Linked DNA regions of Bombyx mori. The protein of the gene in region 3 binds, or shares a complex with, the protein of the main gene of each other region. Links are inferred from orthologs where the notes say so. Each region holds a gene or a part of one and is shown on either strand. Other genes may lie near its edges.

Evidence for each region.
Region 1: nucleoporin Nup188 (region 3) and probable nucleoporin Nup54 share a complex: the UniProt entries of both Drosophila melanogaster proteins name them as parts of the nuclear pore complex. The link is inferred for Bombyx mori from reciprocal best matches to the Drosophila melanogaster genes Nup188 and Nup54.
Region 2: nucleoporin Nup188 (region 3) and nuclear pore complex protein Nup205 share a complex: the UniProt entries of both Drosophila melanogaster proteins name them as parts of the nuclear pore complex. The link is inferred for Bombyx mori from reciprocal best matches to the Drosophila melanogaster genes Nup188 and Nup205.
Region 4: nucleoporin Nup188 (region 3) and PCI domain-containing protein 2 homolog share a complex: the UniProt entries of both Drosophila melanogaster proteins name them as parts of the nuclear pore complex. The link is inferred for Bombyx mori from reciprocal best matches to the Drosophila melanogaster genes Nup188 and PCID2.

Annotation. Positions count from the first base shown.
Region 1 is NC_085121.1:5,992,761-5,998,073, reverse strand, and holds the start of probable nucleoporin Nup54, read right to left. Parts: upstream 3,698-5,313; 5' UTR 3,533-3,697; coding exon 3,469-3,532; intron 2,990-3,468; coding exon 2,882-2,989; intron 1,819-2,881; coding exon 1,723-1,818; intron 1,456-1,722; coding exon 1,226-1,455; intron 1-1,225. UniProt on the Drosophila melanogaster protein: Component of the nuclear pore complex (NPC), a complex required for the trafficking across the nuclear envelope. Essential for the nuclear import of nuclear localization signal (NLS)-containing proteins in an importin alpha/importin beta-dependent manner.
Region 2 is NC_085121.1:1,006,399-1,011,569, reverse strand, and holds the start of nuclear pore complex protein Nup205, read right to left. Parts: upstream 3,698-5,171; 5' UTR 3,490-3,697; coding exon 3,474-3,489; intron 3,126-3,473; coding exon 2,965-3,125; intron 2,345-2,964; coding exon 2,224-2,344; intron 1,425-2,223; coding exon 1,247-1,424; intron 405-1,246; coding exon 204-404; intron 1-203. UniProt on the Drosophila melanogaster protein: Plays a role in the nuclear pore complex (NPC) assembly and maintenance, but with limited role in NPC permeability. Required for specific nuclear import pathways such as Mad import.
Region 3 is NC_085111.1:4,871,478-4,876,984, forward strand, and holds the start of nucleoporin Nup188, read right to left. Parts: upstream 3,708-5,507; 5' UTR 3,548-3,707; coding exon 3,528-3,547; intron 3,462-3,527; coding exon 3,248-3,461; intron 3,143-3,247; coding exon 2,538-3,142; intron 2,420-2,537; coding exon 2,299-2,419; intron 1,362-2,298; coding exon 1,248-1,361; intron 616-1,247; coding exon 316-615; intron 1-315. Other genes in the region: adk2 (adenylate kinase 2), read left to right, coding at 4,329-4,430, 4,642-4,878. UniProt on the Drosophila melanogaster protein: Component of the nuclear pore complex (NPC), a complex required for the trafficking across the nuclear envelope. Required for proper protein transport into the nucleus.
Region 4 is NC_085115.1:3,909,187-3,914,382, forward strand, and holds PCI domain-containing protein 2 homolog, read right to left. Parts: upstream 3,698-5,196; 5' UTR 3,312-3,697; coding exon 3,096-3,311; intron 2,735-3,095; coding exon 2,566-2,734; intron 1,971-2,565; coding exon 1,162-1,970; 3' UTR 517-1,161; downstream 1-516. Other genes in the region: Nopp34 (nucleolar phosphoprotein), read left to right, coding at 4,909-4,989, 5,064-5,189. UniProt on the Drosophila melanogaster protein: Required for the export of nuclear mRNAs and involved in mRNA trafficking in the cytoplasm.

The DNA of each region.
Region 1 (5,313 bases), on a different chromosome or scaffold from region 3:
AAATTGGCGAAAACCTAAGAAGCAGTGTAATTCAATTGTAATTGATTTTTAAAAAAAACATTTGAATTATTTATAAAAAGGACTTGTTTTTAGTGTAATGATGATATAATATATTTGAAGTCGTTGTGGCCTAAAGGATAAGACGTCCGGTGCATTTGTATGTAGCGATGCACCGGTGTTCCGAGTCCCGCAGGCGGGTAACAATTTTTCTAATGAAATACGTACTCAACAAATGTTCACGATTGACTTCCACGGTGAAGGAATAACATCGTGTAATAAAAATCAAACCCGCAAAATTATAATTTGCGTAATCACTGGTGGTAGGACCTCTTGGGAGTCCGCACGGGTAGGTACCTCCACCCCGCCTATTTCCGTCGTGAAGCAGTAATGCGTTTCGGTTCGAAGGGTGGGGTAGCTGTTGTAACTACATATACTGAGATCTTAGAACTTATATCTCGAGGTGGGTGGCGCATTTACGTTGTAGATGTCTATGGGCTCCAGTAACCACTTAACACCAGGTGGGCTGTGAGATCGTCCATCCATCTAAGCAATAAAAAAAAAACTTTTTTTTCCTACCTATGCTGAACCTTGAGAGGCTATTTCAGCTTCACTCTAATGTGTAGGTGAGCTCACGGGGTTCAAACCGGAGTGTTGCTAACACTGGCTCTAGCAAGAGCAGTGCTTCGCAGAATCTACCACCGGATCGGAAACGCAACCCACTGAGAAGATCCGGCGAGAAACTCAGTGGGCTGGGTCAATTCGCTCGTCGAGCCCTTCGTCGCAAGCGACGGTTTCGACGAGGACGGTGACCGGTGCTTGATACTGAAAGCACCGTTAATAGATCGGGAGGATCCGTAATGACGTGTTTTGGGCTTGTATCAACAAAGGTTAACGTTTTGTAATAAAAACGCTTCTACATGGTACAAACATGTGCTGATACATTCAATTATTTTTCATAGCTCTGTTATATGCGTTACCCCTAATATATTGACTATTGCAATTTCGGTCGCCCATTTGTTACTGCAGAATGACTTCAGAGTAAAAAAGGTCTGAGTTACAGAGCGAAATTACGAGGTTTCATCGTTTGCCGTGTGACTGTCGAAAACTAAAATCTATTTAAAAAAAGTTTCACTGATATACAAGCCCTACTGAATATTAATACGTATTTCATAAAAATATATGTTTTTCTAGTTCACTTCTTGTATGGTAATTGAATCAAACACACCTGTTGTTGTCCAAATTGATTAGTGCCAAGACCAAATCCACCGAAACCAGTTGACGGTTTTGTACCAAATCCACTGCCAAAAGTTCCGGTACCGAAAGCTCCTGTATTCAGATTGCTGGAACCTAGAGTGTTTGTACCAAATGTTGGTGCTGCACTCGCAAATGTATTGGATCCAGTTCCAAATAAACCAGTCCCAAATGTGTTCGTCCCAAAGCCAGTTGTTCCAAAACCTTTAACAATTGTGTAAATAATTTTGTCAATTATTAATAGTAATTAATTTGGAATTATATCTTTTTCAATATTTCAAATATCAAAATACAAAACTAAAGAGAAAATTTAATAATTAAAATGAAATCTTTAGGTATCAGTGATTACTTTGTAATACATGAATGTATGCATCAAAAACACTACTCGCATAATACATCTGATCAATCAAAGGTAAATTGGAAATTTGAAAACGTAAAGTAAAAATGTAAGTAAAATTTAATCAATATTACCAGTGGCAGGTTTGGCAGCTCCAAATCCAGTCCCTCCGAACAATGAATTAGTAGTTGTTGTAGTAGCAGTGTTACCCAAACCACCAAAAGGTGTTGCTGAAACATTAGATATTACATTATTACTACACTAATTGATATCAGTGAATATTATGCAGTGGCATATTGTTCTCGAGCAAATCGATTTAGCTTAATGCTAAACAGTTAGCTTTTGTAGCCTTGACTATCTGCGCATATTGTTTTTAAATTATGTGTCTTCTATATCATTCATGTGTTATTTGAGCTATAGAAACTCCATAAAATTAGACTGAAAAAATTATTATTCACAATTTATACGCTGAAATAAAATATACATTAAAAGTGCGATAAAATTAAGATATCCATACCACATGTGCATGTAAAGTTCGAGAGCAAAAACCACATTCTACTTTGATCGGATGTTTAGTAATTGTCATATTTAATTATGATTGTTTTGGAGTATGTTACATTAAACATTTTTCGTACAAATTGGAAATGACTCGTATTTTTTCCTAGTAAATTGATATATCTATACTAATATTATAAAGAGGAAAGATTTGTTTGTTTGTTTGTTTCGAATAGGCTCCGAAACTACTGGACCGATTTGAAAAATTCTTTTTCCATTAGAAGCCGACATTGTCCCTGATGAACATAGGCTACTTTTTTTTAAATTTTTTTTTTTTTTTTTTGTTTCATGTGTGTTTTAATGTTTCCGAAGCGAAGCGAGGGCGGGTCACTAGTTGTATACTTTAATTGAACTATAAACAACTGTGTATTTATACAGTTTTCAATCATTAGGTCTAAGAAACTTTTTTAACTAAGAATAGTTTGAAAGAATCTACATTTTTATATAGGTTATATGGGTGGACAAGCTCACGGCTCACCTGGTGTTAAGTGATAACCGGAGCCAATAAAAGTAGTAACCGGAACTCATTTTAAAAATAGTAAAGTCTTAAAATGGTAAACTTTCTATTCACACCACCATTATTAAATCACCAAAATTGAATGTGTCAATATAAAAATAGCTCTTGTCTGATTTTCTTTTATAGTTTTTGGTAATTGAAATGTGTAATGGTAGTTGTAATAATAGTGCAGAAATATATTTTTTTAAATTAATTATATTCTTAGTCAAGCCAAGTATTACCACTACTGGTCCCAAAGGAGCCAAAGCCCGATGAGGTTGTCGTAGTACCAAAATTAAACCCAGTACTGGTGGTTGTAGCAGTACTTGTTCCACCAAATGAAAATGTCGCTGGAATTAAAGTACGAAAGTGTTATTAAACAATTTAAACTAAAAAATTGGAATGACTGCCATGAATACCTGCAATTTGCAAAATGTGAACAATGAAACAGAAATCAATTTAATCATTTTTGTGACCAGGAGATGAAATAATCTTCATTATGTAGCTCCACTACATTAAGTATATTATGTATCAGAATCACAGTTAAGATATCCACTTGCCTGCGTAAACTATGTGACACAACTTACCAATGGTCAAAATTAGAATTAAGGGAAATTTGAAACCTAGTAAGTGAGAATAGGTATTACTGCGGACAATGAAGTAATAACAGTAACTCAAAAAGTTCGCGTTCCTTATCTTTCATTTAATGGCTCATTAATTTGATCATTGATGATTTCATGTAAAATTCTCTGGCCTTATATGTGTTATAGAACTTTCAGAACATATTTAAATGTTCTTGTGTTACATTTACATTCTAAATTATACTCACGTTTGGCGGCAGCACCAAAAACCGAACCTTGTGTAGTAGTGGTATTACCAAATGAAAAAGCCATTGAAACTATAACTAAATTAAACTATAAACCATGAACATACAACTATAGATTCTTGTAAAATTTAATTTAAAAATATGAACGGTAAGTATTTATTCTAGGTTGTCCATTTCATGAAATGTACCAAAACCATCAAAACATAACAAAATTATCAGACTTTTTTAGTGTAGTCCTTTGGATAGGCAAAGGAAATATAGTCTATACACCTAATTATTTTGTCGCCAATTCATGTCTGTTGGATGAAAAGTGATGTGGAGGAAAAGTGAAATACATAGTTTGTTTATATATAATTGCATGAATGCTTCAGGAACGCAGAGAGAACAAACATTGTCTTTTTTCATCGTGTTAAGTGTGACTTGTTACTGCTGATAAAGTGGACTAGCTCCGTGGCTATAACAATTAATTAAAATTTAAATAATACTTGAAAACATTGTGTTCACTTGTATATTAGAAAAATAATTTTCATAATGACAGCGCACATCAAAAGTAAAAGAACACAATATAAATTCAAATGCAGTGCATCATTGACAAGTACATGTGGACAGCATCACGAACTTCCAACAACCGCAAACAAACTAAAAATACCAGGCACGGCACTCAAGTTTGCTAGGGGCGTCACTTAACATACACACCTACAAAAATATAGTCCAAACATTACATTCCACGTGTGAACTAGCCAATAGACACAACCCACTAAGTTTCTCGCCGAATTTTCTCAATGAATCGCGGCTTCGATCCGGTGGTAGATTCAGCGAAGGACTGCTCATGCTAGGGCTAGTATTAGGAATTCTCTCAGGTTGAACCCGTGAGTCCACCTACCGGTCCGCTCGTAGTTGGAATAGCCCCTTAGACTCCCAACAATTAGGTAGGGAAAAAATGCACTCAGTATGTATACAATATAATTTAGTGGGTAGGATCTAAATGCCATCCTTTGGCTCGCGGTCTCCTCTCAAAGTTTGCGGATTGTCCATGTTGGAGTTTGTATATTAAATGTAATGGCAGGCAACACTTGACACTTGATTAGATTTCGAATATTGGAATTATTTTAAATGTTTTAAAAAACAGATCATTGTATTCTCGTAAGAAAATGTCAGTGACTTCTCATCTAGACACGGCAAGACAAACATGTAATAGTTATATAAAAAATATAAAGATAATAATTGTATAATGGTGTAAAAGTGTTCAAGCAATCTGCAATATAATTATAATGAAGCAGTTGTGTTTTTAAATAGCCCCTCATCACCTAAAGACCCAATCCCCTCAAATGTAACCATCCAACAGGTTATGGGCCCAGACCAGAATTTATAAGGTAATATTTATTATAGTTTGCTGATTAAAACATCACCTACGCCTACAACTTCACCATGGAAACGAAACTGTTTGTAAAAATTTTTCTTAGCAACCAATATGAAATGAATTTAATGAAAATAAAACCATTAAAAAAAACAGAAAATGTTATAATATTTGGCTGAAATACCAAACAGAATTATAAGAGTATGAGATAAGGTAATAGAAGGGAGAACAACAAATAAAAAATAATCGTGAAGACGAAGTCGACAAAGTTCGAGAAGGTGCTAGAGGAAGATATGGAGTTAATGAAGTTCGAGAAGGTGATAGAGGAAGAAATGGAGTTAATGGAGTTCGAGAAGGTGATTTTAGAGGAAATAGTAGTAATGGAGGTAATGAAGTTCGAGAAGGTGAAATAGGAAGAAATGGAGAGTTAGTGGAGTTCGAGAAGGTGATATTAGAGGAAATAATACTAATGGAGTGTAATAAAGTAGAAA
Region 2 (5,171 bases), on a different chromosome or scaffold from region 3:
TATCATTCTGAGTTTTTCAATTTTCTTTAATGAATGCTTTTTTTATGATTGGAAGATTACTGGTGGCCTCCTTTCCAGTTTCACCAGGACAGGTGGGCGAACAAAGGCTCAGCCAGGAGGGGTGGGATTTGCTAACAATTGCCCGAGCGCCTCCGAAGGAGACCTAACAAGTAAAGAGCAATTGCATAATGAATGCTAAGTACCTAGTATCATTGAGGGTGGCGCACAGCCTGGCGAGGTGGGGATGCGGGGGCGCGGCGCGGTGCGCGTGCAGCAGGTCGAGCGTGGCCCGCACGTCGCAGCGCGGCAACGCGTCCAGCACGCCCGCACCCAGCCCCCCACTGCACGCCTGCTCCACGTAGCGGCTCACGTACCACACTACCTCCGCACGTGCCGATATTGACCTGACATAATGCAATGTATTTTTTATTTTTATTGCTCAGATAAGTGGACGAACTGTCGGCCCACCTGGTGTTAAGTGATTACCGGAACCCATAGACATCAACAACGTAAATGCCCCCACCCACCTCCAGAGACATGAAGTCGAAGTTTCAAGTGTATTGCAACTTTGAACTTTAAGACACAAAAGTCTGTTTTATAGTACAATAGCTGCCTCACCCTTGAAACTAAAAAGTATTACTTCTGCATGGCAGGTCAGCCATACTTATCCATACAAGTTCATGAGACTTACCGATAAAAGTCGTCGTGGCCTAAAGGATAAGACGTCCGGTGCATTCATATTAAGCGATGCACTGGTGTTCGAATCCCACAGGCGGGTACCAATTTTTATAATGAAATACGCACTCAAAAAATGTTCACAATTGACTTCCACAGTGAAGGAATAACATTGTGTAATAAAAATCAAACCCGCAAAATTATAATTTGCGTAATTACTGGTGGTAGCACCTCTTGCGAGTCTGCGTGGGCAAATACCAGCACTCTGCCTATTTCTGCCGTAGAGCAGTAATGCGTTTCGGTTTGAAGGGTGGGGCAGCCGTCGTAACTATACTTGAGACCTTTAACACCAGGTGGGCTGTGAGCTCATCCACCCATCTAAGCAATAAAAAAAAACACCATACCACCAATGAGACTGAGAGATGTAAATGCTGACTAGTACTGCTGTTAGTAAACCCTCACTAGACAATGTTAACATCACACAATCATTCTTATTTTTCAATTTACAACCTTTTTCTGCACATAATGTATTTGTAAAATGAACTAATTTAAAACAAAAATTTGCACTCACCAACAAACACCTTCTCTGGCCATGCATAGTTCTTTTAATGCCTGCACAAGTGCTCTACGTCCATCATAGTACAGCAAAACGGCCACAAGGCCTCGTGGCAGACCAGGGTGACGTGGTAACTGTCGCTGTGCTGTATGAAGCAGCTCTAATGCAAGGTATTCATTCACATTGAACATATCTGTAGACAAAAATATATTTTATGGACTATATTATAATGAATTCACAGAACTAATTTTGGTTCTTTAAAACATTAAGTGAAACATTAAAATACAATGAAAAGATTTAAGTTACAGAGATGTGAACCATGCAGGATTTACACATACTTACAATGTTGTTTTTATGAATGAACTGGCCTGTAGGCTTTTCCTGTTTCACCAAGACAGGTGCGCGAGCAAAGGCTCAGCCAGGAAGGAAGGGATTTATTTGCTAACAGCTGCCTGAGCGCCTCTGGCGGAGACCTAACAACTCAAAGGCAGCTGCTTTGCAAATGAATCTACTACCAGATTGGAATCGCTAACAAGATCCGGCAAGAAACTCACTAAGCTGACGTATGGGTTAGGTGCCCGTGTGAGTATGGTCACCAGTGTCTCTAAGAATGCTCCTAGCAAGCTAAGGCATCTAATGCAAGAGTTATTGGATCTAATGTGTATGGACGTGTCTAGGGCGTCTACAGTGACTGGCTCCTGGTGAGCAGGAGTTGGGGAGTAGTCAGCGGCAGTATTGATAACGCGATTATCTTGACAAATAGCCTTGCGAAGTACTCTTCTGAAACTGACTTCAGGTTTTTCTGGATCAATTCAAGATTACCGATGTATCAAAAAGTTGAGCAAAAAAACTTCAAATACACAAATTTTACTATAAGAAACCAAACAAAATATTGGAGTGAAAATTTTTAAGCTGGAGTCTTGAAGTCACAAAAGATATAGGATTCCTTCGTATTTCTTAAACTTTTAATGAATTCAAATTCATAATATTACCTGATATAATGATAGCTTCATCCACAAGTTCTTTAGATATGATGGTCCTCCCTATGCTAGGCAGTGTGATACCTTCAGTCATACCCCTCTTTAGTTCCTCCCTGCTTGCCAGGTTTTTTGGCTAAACAACATAAAAAAAATACAAATTTACAGTAAAGTATAACACAACATTAGGTTTTGATTTTCAAGTTCAAGGTTTCAAAAAGAAACCACCAGAGATGAAAACACAAATTTAATTTAGTTTAATTAACTAAATTTTATAATCATTTTATACCTATCGGTTTACATTGTGGCATTTAGCATTTGAGTGGATTAATGATGACTTAATGAATAGTGAAATCAAGGTGATAAGGAATTAAATCAATTGCATGAAAGAGTGGTACTGCACATTTAATTTTACAAATGGTCAATTGGGAACCTTTATTTTATTACTTATAAGGGCAAATGAGTTCTCAGACCACCCAATGTAAAGTAGTTACCAGAACCCCTTCACATCATAACATTAATGCCTCCACTGTATTTGCAATAGACATAAAATAATTTATAAACAATGTAACCTATTATGAATATTTACAAAAGTAAGATTATTATAAAAATATAATAAAAAGCACACTTGACTTCTTACAATCAAATTAATTGCTTTTCTTGATACTACATACACTTCAAGATCATCTCGAGTTTTGTTAGGTTTAATGAAACAGAAGTATCATGAAAGAAATTAGTAAAAAATATGTCACTCACTGGATTCTTAAATAAAGCTAGAAATGTTTGCTTGTGTCTTCTAAGAACTGACTCAAAGGTGTGTACAGCATAAAGGGCCCCACCACTCTCATGTGTAAGATAACTCTCCACTACAGACACCAACTCTTTGTAGGGCGTCCACAGATCGTCTGTGGTATTGCCTGAAAAGTGGTAGTTCATTTAGACAATTCAATTAAACGTATGAACGCAGTTAGGAAATAATAATTGTCTGGTCTTATTTCTCGGTGAACCGATATATGTTTGAAGATAATCAATGAAATTCATTTTAATTGTTTTTTACAATTTTTTAATAGATTTAAATAGAGAATTTTTTTAAACATACTTTGTTTAATTCCGCTATATAAATAGGAATTCTACTGCAGAGAACGACGACTGCAGTATTGTTTAAGAAGATCATTTGAAAGAAAAAAGGGAGATTTGTACATTTATACTTTTAGTAAAGAGAATAAAACAAATTTAGGTTATATGTCGGTATCAGTTTTGTTTACCTTCGTTGATTTCCATGATTACTTAGCTGTTGGCATCAGACTTGAAACATAAATATTAGTATTTCACGCAAACTTAAGGTATATGACTATCTTATTAATTATATTTATTATTAAAATACTATTAGTTTGGCGTTTGAAACTTGAAATTTTTTGAATGTCTATAAATGAAGCGACAAACAAACGCGCGCGGTTGCTTTTTTTTTTGACAGTTGTTGTCAAAGTCAAGTTGAGTAGTGGTAGCAGTTCTATTTTTCCAACTAGAAAAGTAAAGATATCAAACCATATATCCTAATCTTTTTTACATATTATTTTTTACGATTTATGAATCCCTTATTAATAAATAACAAATCAAAATAATTTAACATAAATCCACACAAGTAACATCCCATACCAGGCACCAACCGACTGACCATGGAATTAGAGATATGGAATAAACTCAGTAAAATGTTGGTTATTTCTCAGTTATGTTTATGTTGCTTAAATGGGTGGACGAGCTCACGCCCCCCCCCCCCCGTCACCGTTCCCGTCGAAACGTAAATTAACCGTCAGACACAGCCCACTGAGTTTCTCGCCGGATCTTCTCAGTGAGTCGCGTTTCCGATCCGATAATACATTCTGCGAAGCACGGCTCTTGCTAGGGTTCGTGTTAGCAACGTCGTCAGGTTTGAGCCCCGTGAGCTCACCTACCAGTTAAGGTTCCGCTGAAATAGCCTCTCAAGGCTATCAGCTTAGGTAGGAATAAAAAAACCTACCCCTGGTGTTAAGTGGTTACTGGAGCCCATAGACATTTGCAACGTAAATGTGCCACCCACCTTGAGATATAAGTTCTAACTTCTAAGGTCTCAAGTAGGTATAAGTATAGTTACAACGGCTGCCCCACCCTTCAAACCGAAACGCATTACAACTTCATGGCAGAAATAGGCGGGGTGGCGGGTGGCGGTACCTACCCGTGCGGACTCACAAGAGGTCCTAATTTTATAATAATTTGCGGGTTTTATTTTTATTACACGATGTTATTCCTTCACTGTGGAAGTCATTCGTGAACATTTGTATTAGAAAAATTGGTACCCGTCTGCGGGATTCGAACACCAGTGCACCGCTAGATACGAATACACCAGAAATCTTATCCTTTAGGCCACGACGACCTCAGAGTACAGTAAAAGCTCTTTATTCGCGGAGTATATGTTCCGTAAATATGCCGCGAACATAGAAATCGTGAAATTTCATTTATCAGGCAGCGAAGACGGCTCCTGTCAAAGACAGAACCAATACAGCGGCGATGTCATATCAATTTAGCGTTTTGTTTTAGGCCTGGTGGTAATAAGATCTATTTAACTTTTTATTAGTCTATTTGACGACGCGTTTACAAATGATATTCGATTGGATACCTACTTATCGGAATTCCTTTTTAACAATGTATCGATTACGTCCGCGCAACGGCGTATCCAGGAGGGGGGTCATGACCCCCCCCTGAGCTAGTTCCAGGACTTGAACTAACTTGGACTAATTGAAGAACATCATGATTTATTTATTATCTTAACTTGCCCACGACTATGTGACCCCCTCCCGGCGCCAAACCTGGATCCGCCCTTGCGTCCGCGAATAAAGAAATTTTTAGCATTTTTTTTAAATCCCCTAATAGTGAAAACGCAAATGAAGCGCGAACAAGGAACTTTTATTGTATGTTACATGAAAGTT
Region 3 (5,507 bases):
AAATGCTTTATGAAAATACATTTTTATCAAAAACAATCATGCATAAACATATACTACTCTATAAATAAACTACAATAGTTAAGAGTGAAGTGCAGCAGAATAACTATAGTTTAAAAAATGCATATTTGTTCAAAATAATTGCCTGTTATAAGTTACACACGAAAATGGTAATCTTTTACAATAATACATTATGTATCATTTATATCTGAGCAAGAGGATTTCGTCTTGATCGCTTGATTCAACTTTTTTTTTTTTTTTTTAGTTAAGAATGCTATTAGCAATTTAAATCAAAAAATATTACTTAAAATTACTTACATTTCTGACGCTGTTCTTACCAGCTTGAACTAAGCCAGCAGCTAAATTTGAGAGAGGACTAAAATGATGAGGGAAATATTCTAGTGCAGTATTCCATAATGACACTACACCAAAGTCTTTGTCTCTCTGATGAAGTTTCCAGAATTGACAAGCTATTTCTGGTGACTGAAGCAGGTCTGAACACAGCTGTATAATGCCAGTTTGATTGCTGAGGCTTCCGTCTCCATCAAACTTGTCACAAAGCTCGTTGAGGATATTAAACATTCTTTGTTTAGCTATTTGTGAGCACTTTGATTGATCCTGCAAGGTTGATTACATTTAATGTATGTAATCTCTCGCTATAGTGTAATGTTCATAAATTATGGTCCTAAATCAGGAGTTCCCAAACTTATTATGTCTACTGTCCGTTTTGAGAATAAATTATTTTTTGGCGGCCCCATTTTTTCACCTACTTAAAAACCACCATAGCGAGAGCACAGTTGGTGTCTAAGAGTCGTCCTAGATGAAATTACCTCAAACCTCTACACAACGCCCCCCTTTTTTTTGGGTCTCTTACCCTTTAGGCCTGCAGCGCCCATAAGGGAGCGTTATCGCCTACTTTGGGAAAGGCTGTCCTAAATGAATGATCATGATAGATAGACAGACATGCAGATAGATAGACAGACGATGTATATGAAAATACAAATTTTCAGTTATAAATCAAGTCAGGATTTTAGGACTTTCCTTTATATACCTATATTTTGTCTTGTTTGTTAAGGGTAACATTTACCAAACCAAAATGAGTAAGCAGTTCAAATAAAACGTTGAAAGGTTCCTTCATTTATCTTAATCTTATGTTAGATAATAATTTATATTGAAAATTCAGAATAGATATGAAATAACACAAAATATTTTTAAAGGTTACGGTAATGAATGTGTGAATGAATACTTACTGAGAATACAGGACTGTTCAGCATCTGTTGAAGAAACTCAAACACTTTCATCTTCATTGCAGTACTGCCAAAATGTTGATATTGGCTTTCAAATAATTTTACATGTTGATCACTCTGTAACAATAACACAATGTTCAACAAAAAAATTTATGAGCCTTACTGAGTAGTGTAAATATACTTTTTGGTATAGATTACAGGGCTATTTTCTACAAATCAATGTCGTTGACTTGCTATATATTTAGTAAGTATTTCATATTATTATGTAACGAATGTCAAGAGAACTCTACAAGATAGTAAAAGTTCTGCACTACATAAATCCTTTAAAAAAGATTTGTCATTTGTTCTGCCCAGCTGTGACATAAAAAATAAAAAAAATAAAATTCATTTAATTCAGACCCTCTTAAGTCCATATTATTATGTTGTAAGTAGAATAATACTTAGAACTATGTTAGTAAAATTAAAATTAAAATTAAAATTAGCAATTAAAACATTTAAACATTTAATTCACAAATCTGCGCTGCTTTGAGGCTCCTGGTATATGGGTACGTATATGAACCCAGTGTCTCAAAACAGCACATTCGGGTTTATTACCTATAAATATATATATATTTTTATGTAATAATATATATATATATTATTACATAAAAATCAGATATTGGTTGTTTTTCTTTCAACAATATTATTCTTAAGCAACGTTGATTATAAACCTTCTGGTTTTTTTTCCTACCTATGCTGATAGCCTTGAGAGTTTATTTCAGCTTACCCTAGCGTGTGTAGGTGAGCTCACGGGGCTCAAACCGGTTGCTAACACTGACCCTAGCAAGAGCAGTGCTTCGCAGAATCTACCACCGGATCGGAAACGCAACCCACTGAGAAGATCCGGCGAGAAACTCAGTGGGCTGTGTCTGTGGGTTAATTCGCTCGTCGAGCCCTTCGTCGCAAGCGACGGTTTCGACGAGGACGATGACCGGTGCTTGTAGTGCCTAAAAGCACCTAAACCTTCAAGTAAGCTTTGCATGATGAATACCTTAATTAAAAAACTGATAATTACCTGCAACGTTACCAGCATCCACGTCAAAAGCATGGCACTGTGTTCTGTACACATTTGAATTTTTGTCAATTCAGTTTCTACAACTTCTTTAGTATTTTCTATCCATGTTGATAAATTATCACTGAAATGTCACAGCCAAGCCAAAGTAAATTACAACACCAATATGTTATATATAGTGCCAAAAATAAATTGAATAAAACAATGAAAAATAAATTACAATGTTTACACCAAATTCTTACATTTTCAAATGATCAATAATGATCATAAACAGGCAAACTTCCATGTACATAATACAGAGGCATTGCTCTCTGTGTCTTTCTCCCAGGAACTCACTGAACCCATAATTCTTCCCAAAACTGTGTTTTATGAACAAATTAAACAATTTTTTGAATTCTTCAGCTTGAAATGTGTTCTTTTCCGCAATTATTAAGAGTATTTGAAGTATTGCTAATTGTTCTCTCAAATTACTCTCTAACCAAGTGTGTCGCACAGAATCATTAGAAAAATCACTCAATATTTTTCTAGATGGTGGAGCAGCACTTAAGACCTTTTCAAATTGAGATATGAGTGAGGTTTTAATGTTTTGTATGCCAATATCTTCAATAATCTTGGTGAATTCCTTTTGATATTTATATTGAGCATCATCTTTAAGCTGAATGATGTACTGAAGCAATTTGAGTAGAAAGAGTCGCTCAGAATAATAGAAGCTCCATACTTTGGGAGACAAATATGTAGGTCGGGTGTCAACAAATGCAACATTCTTTAATGCACTCTCAGGTGTACCATACGATATATCACACAAATAGTTTTTTAATATTTCCCATAATTGAAAACAGTCGACATCCTGCAAGAAAATTCATAGTATTATTAACTGAAAACTACAGGAATTACACACAACAAAATTCCCAAATATTTTATTAAACGTAATATATTTGAAATATCAGCTCACAATATAATTTTGAAGTGTCTGCACTATAGTGAGCAGCTTTGTTTGATCCGGATACTGTGACTGAAGTTTGGTAAAGTCCTCAGGCTTGTTTTGTTTGTAACTAGCCAATCCAATTTTAAGTCCATCTCTTACTTCTTTTGTATCAAAAATTTTGGTCAATTCTTCTGTAGTCAGACTCTCCGAAGTTGTCCAGCGCCATAGCCTCTTCCAATAACTGAAATTTGTAGTTAAATACAGAAATGCTTAAACTAAATACTTAAAATTAACGAACGAAACTTACTTTACACTACTCGTTGTCATACTTAACTTGATTGCAGTACAGAACTAGTACGACCAGCCGGTTTGACATATATTAGGTACAGAATAAAATTTTAAAAGTGGAAATTATAGAAAACAGTTTCGTATAAATATTTACCGCCTCTTCATTTTCAGGTTATGCGAGGCTATGATGCTAATGTCAAGTGCAACTATTGTTGTCAAAGTATATATTTTTTATCGATTTCAGAGGCAAAGAGTACATAAGTCATTCATATTTTTAAAACAATTGAGCTTCGTCTGTTAAACAAAGAATTAAATCAATTTGATTAACATAAAAATAAAAAATACAAACAATTTATTATTGATTAAAATTTTAATAACTAAATTCATAAAAAAAATAACTTCTCCGCTACTTCAAAAAGTCCTTTGGAGCCTCCTCACAAAATTCACCAATGCTTTAATTACAGTTTTATTTAAATTCGAGATGAGTTCTAACCTCATTCTAAGTGTTTTTATTTTTATTTAATCCACTTGTTTTGAATTAAATATGTATGGCTTTGACCTTTTCTCACCTTATAATTTTTTCGTTATGGACTTTGTTTCCCTTTGCCTGTCGGCTATTTCGGTGAGTGGAATTAAATTCATTTAAAAAGTTTTGATAATTTTTTAAGATATCATGTAAATTGCAATTGAACTTTTGATTACTATATCACGTGCTAATTTACGCATATCTAAACGTAGTTACAACACCTCTGCAATTCTAACTTTGACAGATTTGTCTGTACAGGGCTCTAATTAATTGAAGGCTTAAGAATTTGATGATATGGCACCGGCCGCTGCAGCCACGAAACTAAAACCTGATGAGGATCCTTTAGGAATAAGGGCCGTGCTACTTGGCCCTCCTGGATCCGGTAAGGGGACTCAGGTATGTGGTTTAATTGAACTTTGGCCTTCTTTATCTCATATTATAACTAATAGTGAATATTTGATTATTACTTAAGTATCATTGAGGCTAATAATTATAAATACTTAATTAATGATTAGTATTTAATAATTAGAAATATAAATTAGAAATTCAATAATGAAGCCAGTTATTCAATTTTTGAAATACATGAGAACTTGTTTATTATCATTAGGCTCCTCGTCTGAAAGAAAAGTATTGTGTTTGTCACCTATCCACTGGTGACATGCTGCGTGCTGAAGTCTCATCGGGATCAGACCTGGGACGACGCCTTAAGAAGGTCATGGATGAGGGCAAACTTGTTTCCGATGAAATGGTGGTTGATATGATTGACAAGAACTTGGATCAACCTGAGTGCAAGAATGGTTTCTTACTTGATGGATTCCCTAGAACTGTACCCCAGGCTGAGAAGGTATGTGTTTAAAGTCGGGTATACTTTTCTTCACTTTCTAGAAAAATCAAGGCAATAAGTGGATATAACAAAAGAACTTGTTAGTTTGATGGCTAGTAGATAGTATAAAAATGCAATTTGAGGCAGATTAAAAGCCAATGTAAAAAAGCCTAGCACAGGATTTGTGTGCTTTTTTAATAGCTTTTAATAATTTTTTTGTGTGTATGATGATTTTAATCCATTCCAAAATATTTCAAAACATTTTATATATATTTTACATCAATATATTCAATTTTCATAACAAATTGAACATATTGAAATTCAGTAAACATATTAAGGACTATATTTTCTACAATCAAACTTAATTGTTTTGAACTTCATTTAATTTCCAAATTATTGGTTAAAATATATAATAACCCTAATAACTTGCTTTGTAGAATAAACTGTCCACACTTAAAAATCAATTTTACCTTTTTAGTTTTATTTAACTAGGACAGTGGTCGGCAATCTGTATTATAGGTGCCGCATGTGGCATGGCTCTTGTGTTGAATCTTTAGTTCAGGCACAGAATATTACTTATTGTCTTGCCTTATAAGAGTACCAGTAAACAGTTTATCAAGGCTTTAAAAATATGTTAATAAATGGCTGAA
Region 4 (5,196 bases), on a different chromosome or scaffold from region 3:
AATTATTCGTTATTGTGTAGTAGGTGGTTTTAATTTTAGTGAAATTTAAAATACTATAAAGTAAATGAAATTACAAATTTTACAGCGCCCCCCTAACCCACACCAACGACCCCCATTTTTTCCTAGGCCCCTTAACGCCCCCCTGTAGGTTTCAAACGCCCCCAAGGGGGCGTTATCGCCCACTTTGAGAAAGACTGCCTTAAATGGAACGCCTCTATGAGTCATGTTTTTTCGTGCGTGCAGCCAGCTCCATCGAATTATAAGACGTTGTCACGTCAGTAAAACTTTTCCTTTATTATATAACTGGTTATGTATTTTTAAGTTTACTATCCAATTATATCCATAACATCATCTACTCAGTGTGCTTAGTGTTAGTTTTTAACGTTCTTGATAGCGTAAAAGTAAACTTAAATTTGTATGCAGTTGGAACAGCGCCCCTAGCGGCAAACGTAGGCAAACGTTCCAATTCAATAAAAATTTGAAAAACAATAGTGATGGGAACATTGAAACTATTGCTCACTTTGGTAATGGAATATATTTGCAACATACGATACAAAACAGGGACAAATAGTATTTTCATAAATAGAGATTCCGAACGACGCGAAATATCGAATTCAAAATTATTATTTATCTGTAATCCCTAGACGTTTATTTAAATTTTAAACTTAATACAGATCAAGCAGGATTCAAAACAATTACACATCATGTCATTAATCTCTCATCATCATCATCTTTTATTAAAATCCACATTAATTACACTCAATTAATAGATATTATTGTTATAGTGCTTAACCATATTCACTGACAAGGTTTGGACTCATGTTATGTATTATATGTATAATATTTTGTTTTATTAATGACATATTTTGGTGTAAAGACACCCCTACCGTTGTGAGTTTCTATTTTATTTAATGACAACCCTAAACACATTAGTGCTACTAAAATAAAAAAACTGGACTACTGAACTGTTTTGTGTATTTTTATGGATATTATATGTAATCAAAAAGAAAGTATTTAAATAGTGAAATTGCGTCAGATATACAATTGCTCATCATCACATTTCACTTAATCAGCCTTTATGCTAATGGAATCTTAATTTTTATTAAAACAATCAAAAAATTAAGTGTGTATTCCCCTAGGTATTATTTAAATGGTATAAATTTAATACAGACTAGATAATGGAGGAAAAGCATTTTGTTTACTGACAACCACTTTCTTGTGTTGGTATGAGATGTATCCTTTGATTTTTCCATCATATATGAGATTTGCAACAATACATTGAGTTTCATCTGAATCAACATCTTCCTGTCCCATGATTTGTAATGCTGCCTCGAAGCTGGCTATGTCTATCTGATGTGAATTCTCCGCTAAATATACTTTCCTAAACAAATTTCTGTATGCTGTAATCTTTAATTTTTCTACAATCAAATAAATACCAGCCGTTATGAAGAACTTTTCATGTTCCTCCATAACCATATCGATACCACGCAAATCTCCATTTTTCACAGCTGATATTAGATCCCAGAATTGTAGCAAATCATATTTCTCTAGTAAATATTTTGCGGGCATGAAACCCAACAGCATTTTCACAGGAACTAAATAAGTTAGAATGAGCCTTTTATTTCGTATGCTTCTTCTGTGACAATTTTCAAAAGCAAACGATAAGTATTCATCAGCTAGACGATAGTCTGAGTCAAACATGGCTTTACGACCCACAAAATATCTGTATGTAATTTGTTGGGCCAGTGGGAATTGATCTTTGAATGGTGAAGAATCAATGGCTCTAATCAATGGTTTGCAAAGGTGGAGCTTGTTTATCCTGAAATATACTTTAAGAAGTTGGTTTACAAGACACAACATGCCTATCTTTTTGGTATCCACATCTGAAGCTCTGTTGTCAGCAGCACAGACTCTGAAGCAAGCTAATAAGCTCTCTGCTGCTTTTTCCATAATTTTACTGCCATTTTGAGCTGAAATATTGACAAATGAAATTAATTGTACAGAATACAGATTATTTAACACAATATTGACTAAGACAACAACTCATGCAAGTATTTGAGATAATTTCGTTTTTTCGACATTGTACCACCATAACAGAGTTGAATCCTACCACCTGTGAATATACTGAGCACTTAGGGTTAGTCATTCTTCAAACAAGACTAAGGAGACAAATCTTGAGTAGAAGGGAACCTGCACTTAAACAGCCACCAGATGATGAGTGGTTACTAGAGTCTGTAGACGTTACTTTGTGAAGTCTGCCTTAAGTGATGAAGTTTAAGGCTGAATTGTATAGTGTAATTGCTGCACTATTCTTCAAGCTAGAATACATGATTGCTTTAGTACAGAAACAAGCAGTTTGGTAATACATACCTAGTTGTGCAAACTTATAACACAACCGACCATCATAAATACTATAAGATCTCATTTCTATGACACATTATTTTCCTTGGCATTTGAAGATTTCAATATGAGTACTCCAGGCATCTTATTCTTAATGCCCTAATCACTTGATACTATTACCATCTTATCTTAGCTCTTGAATGATGTATGCAAATTCATACTTACGGCTAGATGCCTCTGCTTTCTGTGCAACAAGTCTAAGATCTAAACATGCAGCATACATAACCGGAAGGCACCAGTTCTCTTCTTTCTGTCCCTGTAATAGCTTTACGACAGAGGCCACACATATACTCTGATGATCGTATGCCTCAATGTAATCACTTGCATATAATGCCTGGAATGCAAAGCATTTTTTTTTATTGCTTAGATCGGTGGATGAGCTTACAGCCCACCTGGTGTTAAGTGGTTACTGGAGCCCATAGATATCTACAACGTAAATGCGCCACCCATATTGAAATATAAGTTCTAAGGTCTCAGTCTCTGACCGAAATGCATTACTGCTTCTGACTACTACTGACTCAAGAGGTCTTGCCACCAGTAAAAGTATTTGACGAGAAGCTAATAAAACGATATATTTAAAATACACTTAACAGGTAATGTTCGCTGTAGTAACGGCCAGATTAATAATGGTACATTTACTATTTTTTAATCTATATTTATCAATTTAAAACCAGAATTAAATTCATATATCTCACCTTAAGACATGATAAGTGTGCAATTACAAGTTCATCTAATGGAGCAACACAATTTCCTGTGACAAGGGTTGCAATATCGCTAGATAATAGATTCCTATTGTAGACATGTTCATCTCTTAGAGACAACAGTCTAGACAATATGTTACCTTGTCCCGTTCTGTACATACGTTCCACACATTGTATGTATTGATTAAGAGTGCCAGTTATCATCGACATTGTGGTTAGGTATTACTGGATTTTTAACTTTGAATGACTAATTTTAATATACAAAATTACAAGAATGTAGTTTTTCCTATAATTTCGTCAATCGACATTTCATGATTGATATTTATCAAAGAATCAGAGTTTATTAGCGCAAAATCGGTCTCATGAAAACATTGAAATTTTGTTTTCTTTATATGTCATTTCCACTTTCCACAGCTCAACTGGAGAAAGGATAAGTTTTTCATTCCTTGGATAGGCACACGGAAAGAAGTCTATACCGCTAAAGCATTTGGAAGGCCAAGACTATACTTATTATGTGAAATGGAATGTAATTAAGTGAAATCAAATGTTTATTTATTTTTTTAGATGAAGTGAATTATAACAGCGGCAACCATACATTTTTTTTTGTTTGAGACACAAATTGCAGGCATCATACTGTACTAACGATGGGTTAATACTGATATTTGTCAATATACAAATATATTCGTTATGTAATATTATAATACCTTAACTAATACGTGAATATCCTGATATCTTAATATACTTTGATAAAACGGGTAAACGAGTTAAACCTAATACGGTATTCGTGAAATAAGTTAATAATCATAGATAATACACATTAGTTATTAATAATATAAATAGTATATTGTATCTAGGAATTTGACTTCAAGGAATCAAGAAATGAAGGTTCAAACATTAAAAAGTAATGCATTTAAAAATTCCCAAGCTGTATTACGAATATCTTAATGAATACTAATATATCGGTCTCACCCTTATACTGTACTGTGTTCCATTTAAAAAAGTAACCAGTGCAGCTATTAAAGGAATGGCTTCGCAGTATACTAATTTTACATTATATTTTACAGTGCTCCCAGTGTACATCGGAACATAGCCTTAAGCATTAACACAGGTGCGAAAAAGCTAGTGAACCACTGTTTTATACGTTTAAGCATAAAGTAAATGAACAAAATGTAACAAGTCACATTAATCCTTTTCTCACGATCCCGCCTAAAGGTCTTGAGCTTTTTGTGTCTGTTACACGAGAGTTTGTTATTTCTACCAGATAGCCAAAGGGAATCTATTTTTATATTAAATTGATGTACCGTATTTGCAGCTAAAAAATAGATAATATGTAATGCCTACACCTATCTGACGCAAACGATACATATTAAAACGAACATCAATCTGTGCACTTAATACACGAGAAGGCTTGGGACTTTTTGGCGGGAATGCGAAGAGTGAAGTTGTGAGATTTGTTTTATTAAATTTTTGTCTATTAAGTGTTTCTTCAGGTTTAAATGTGTAATAACGGTGGTTTATTAACTATTTAGTATCTGTGAAAGTGCTCGTTCGTCCCGTTTCATCTCGTCTCGTCTCGTCTCACTTCGTTTTCATTTTCATTTTCATTTTATGACATTTCGTGCATTGTTTTATATTAATCAGCTTCCTTCATTTCATACCACTTTTCATAAAAATAAAAATAAGACTTGACTTAAAGGTCCTACTTACCAGGTCATAAAATCCCTAAAAATTAAAAAAGAAGACTTTGTTGTTCTTTATTTACACTTCTAAGTTTTTGCTTAAATCACATTTTAAATTACGAAATAAAATGGAAGAAAACGTTGCGTTGGATTCTAGCAAACAAAAAAAGTTTATCAAATCCATTAAAGGATTGCAAAAAACTATAAAGGTAGTATTAATAACATTATATATTTGAGACTAGGTTATAAAAAACCAGTGTACTTATTCTTATTTATATCACAGAAGAAAAAAACGCAAGCGAAGGATCAGACCCCCGTCACCCCTAAAGTACAAGAAGAGAAAATAAAAAAAAAGAAACGTGTAAGAGGGCTTGTTTATTTGGGACATATCCCACATGGATTTTATGAGGTTGGTT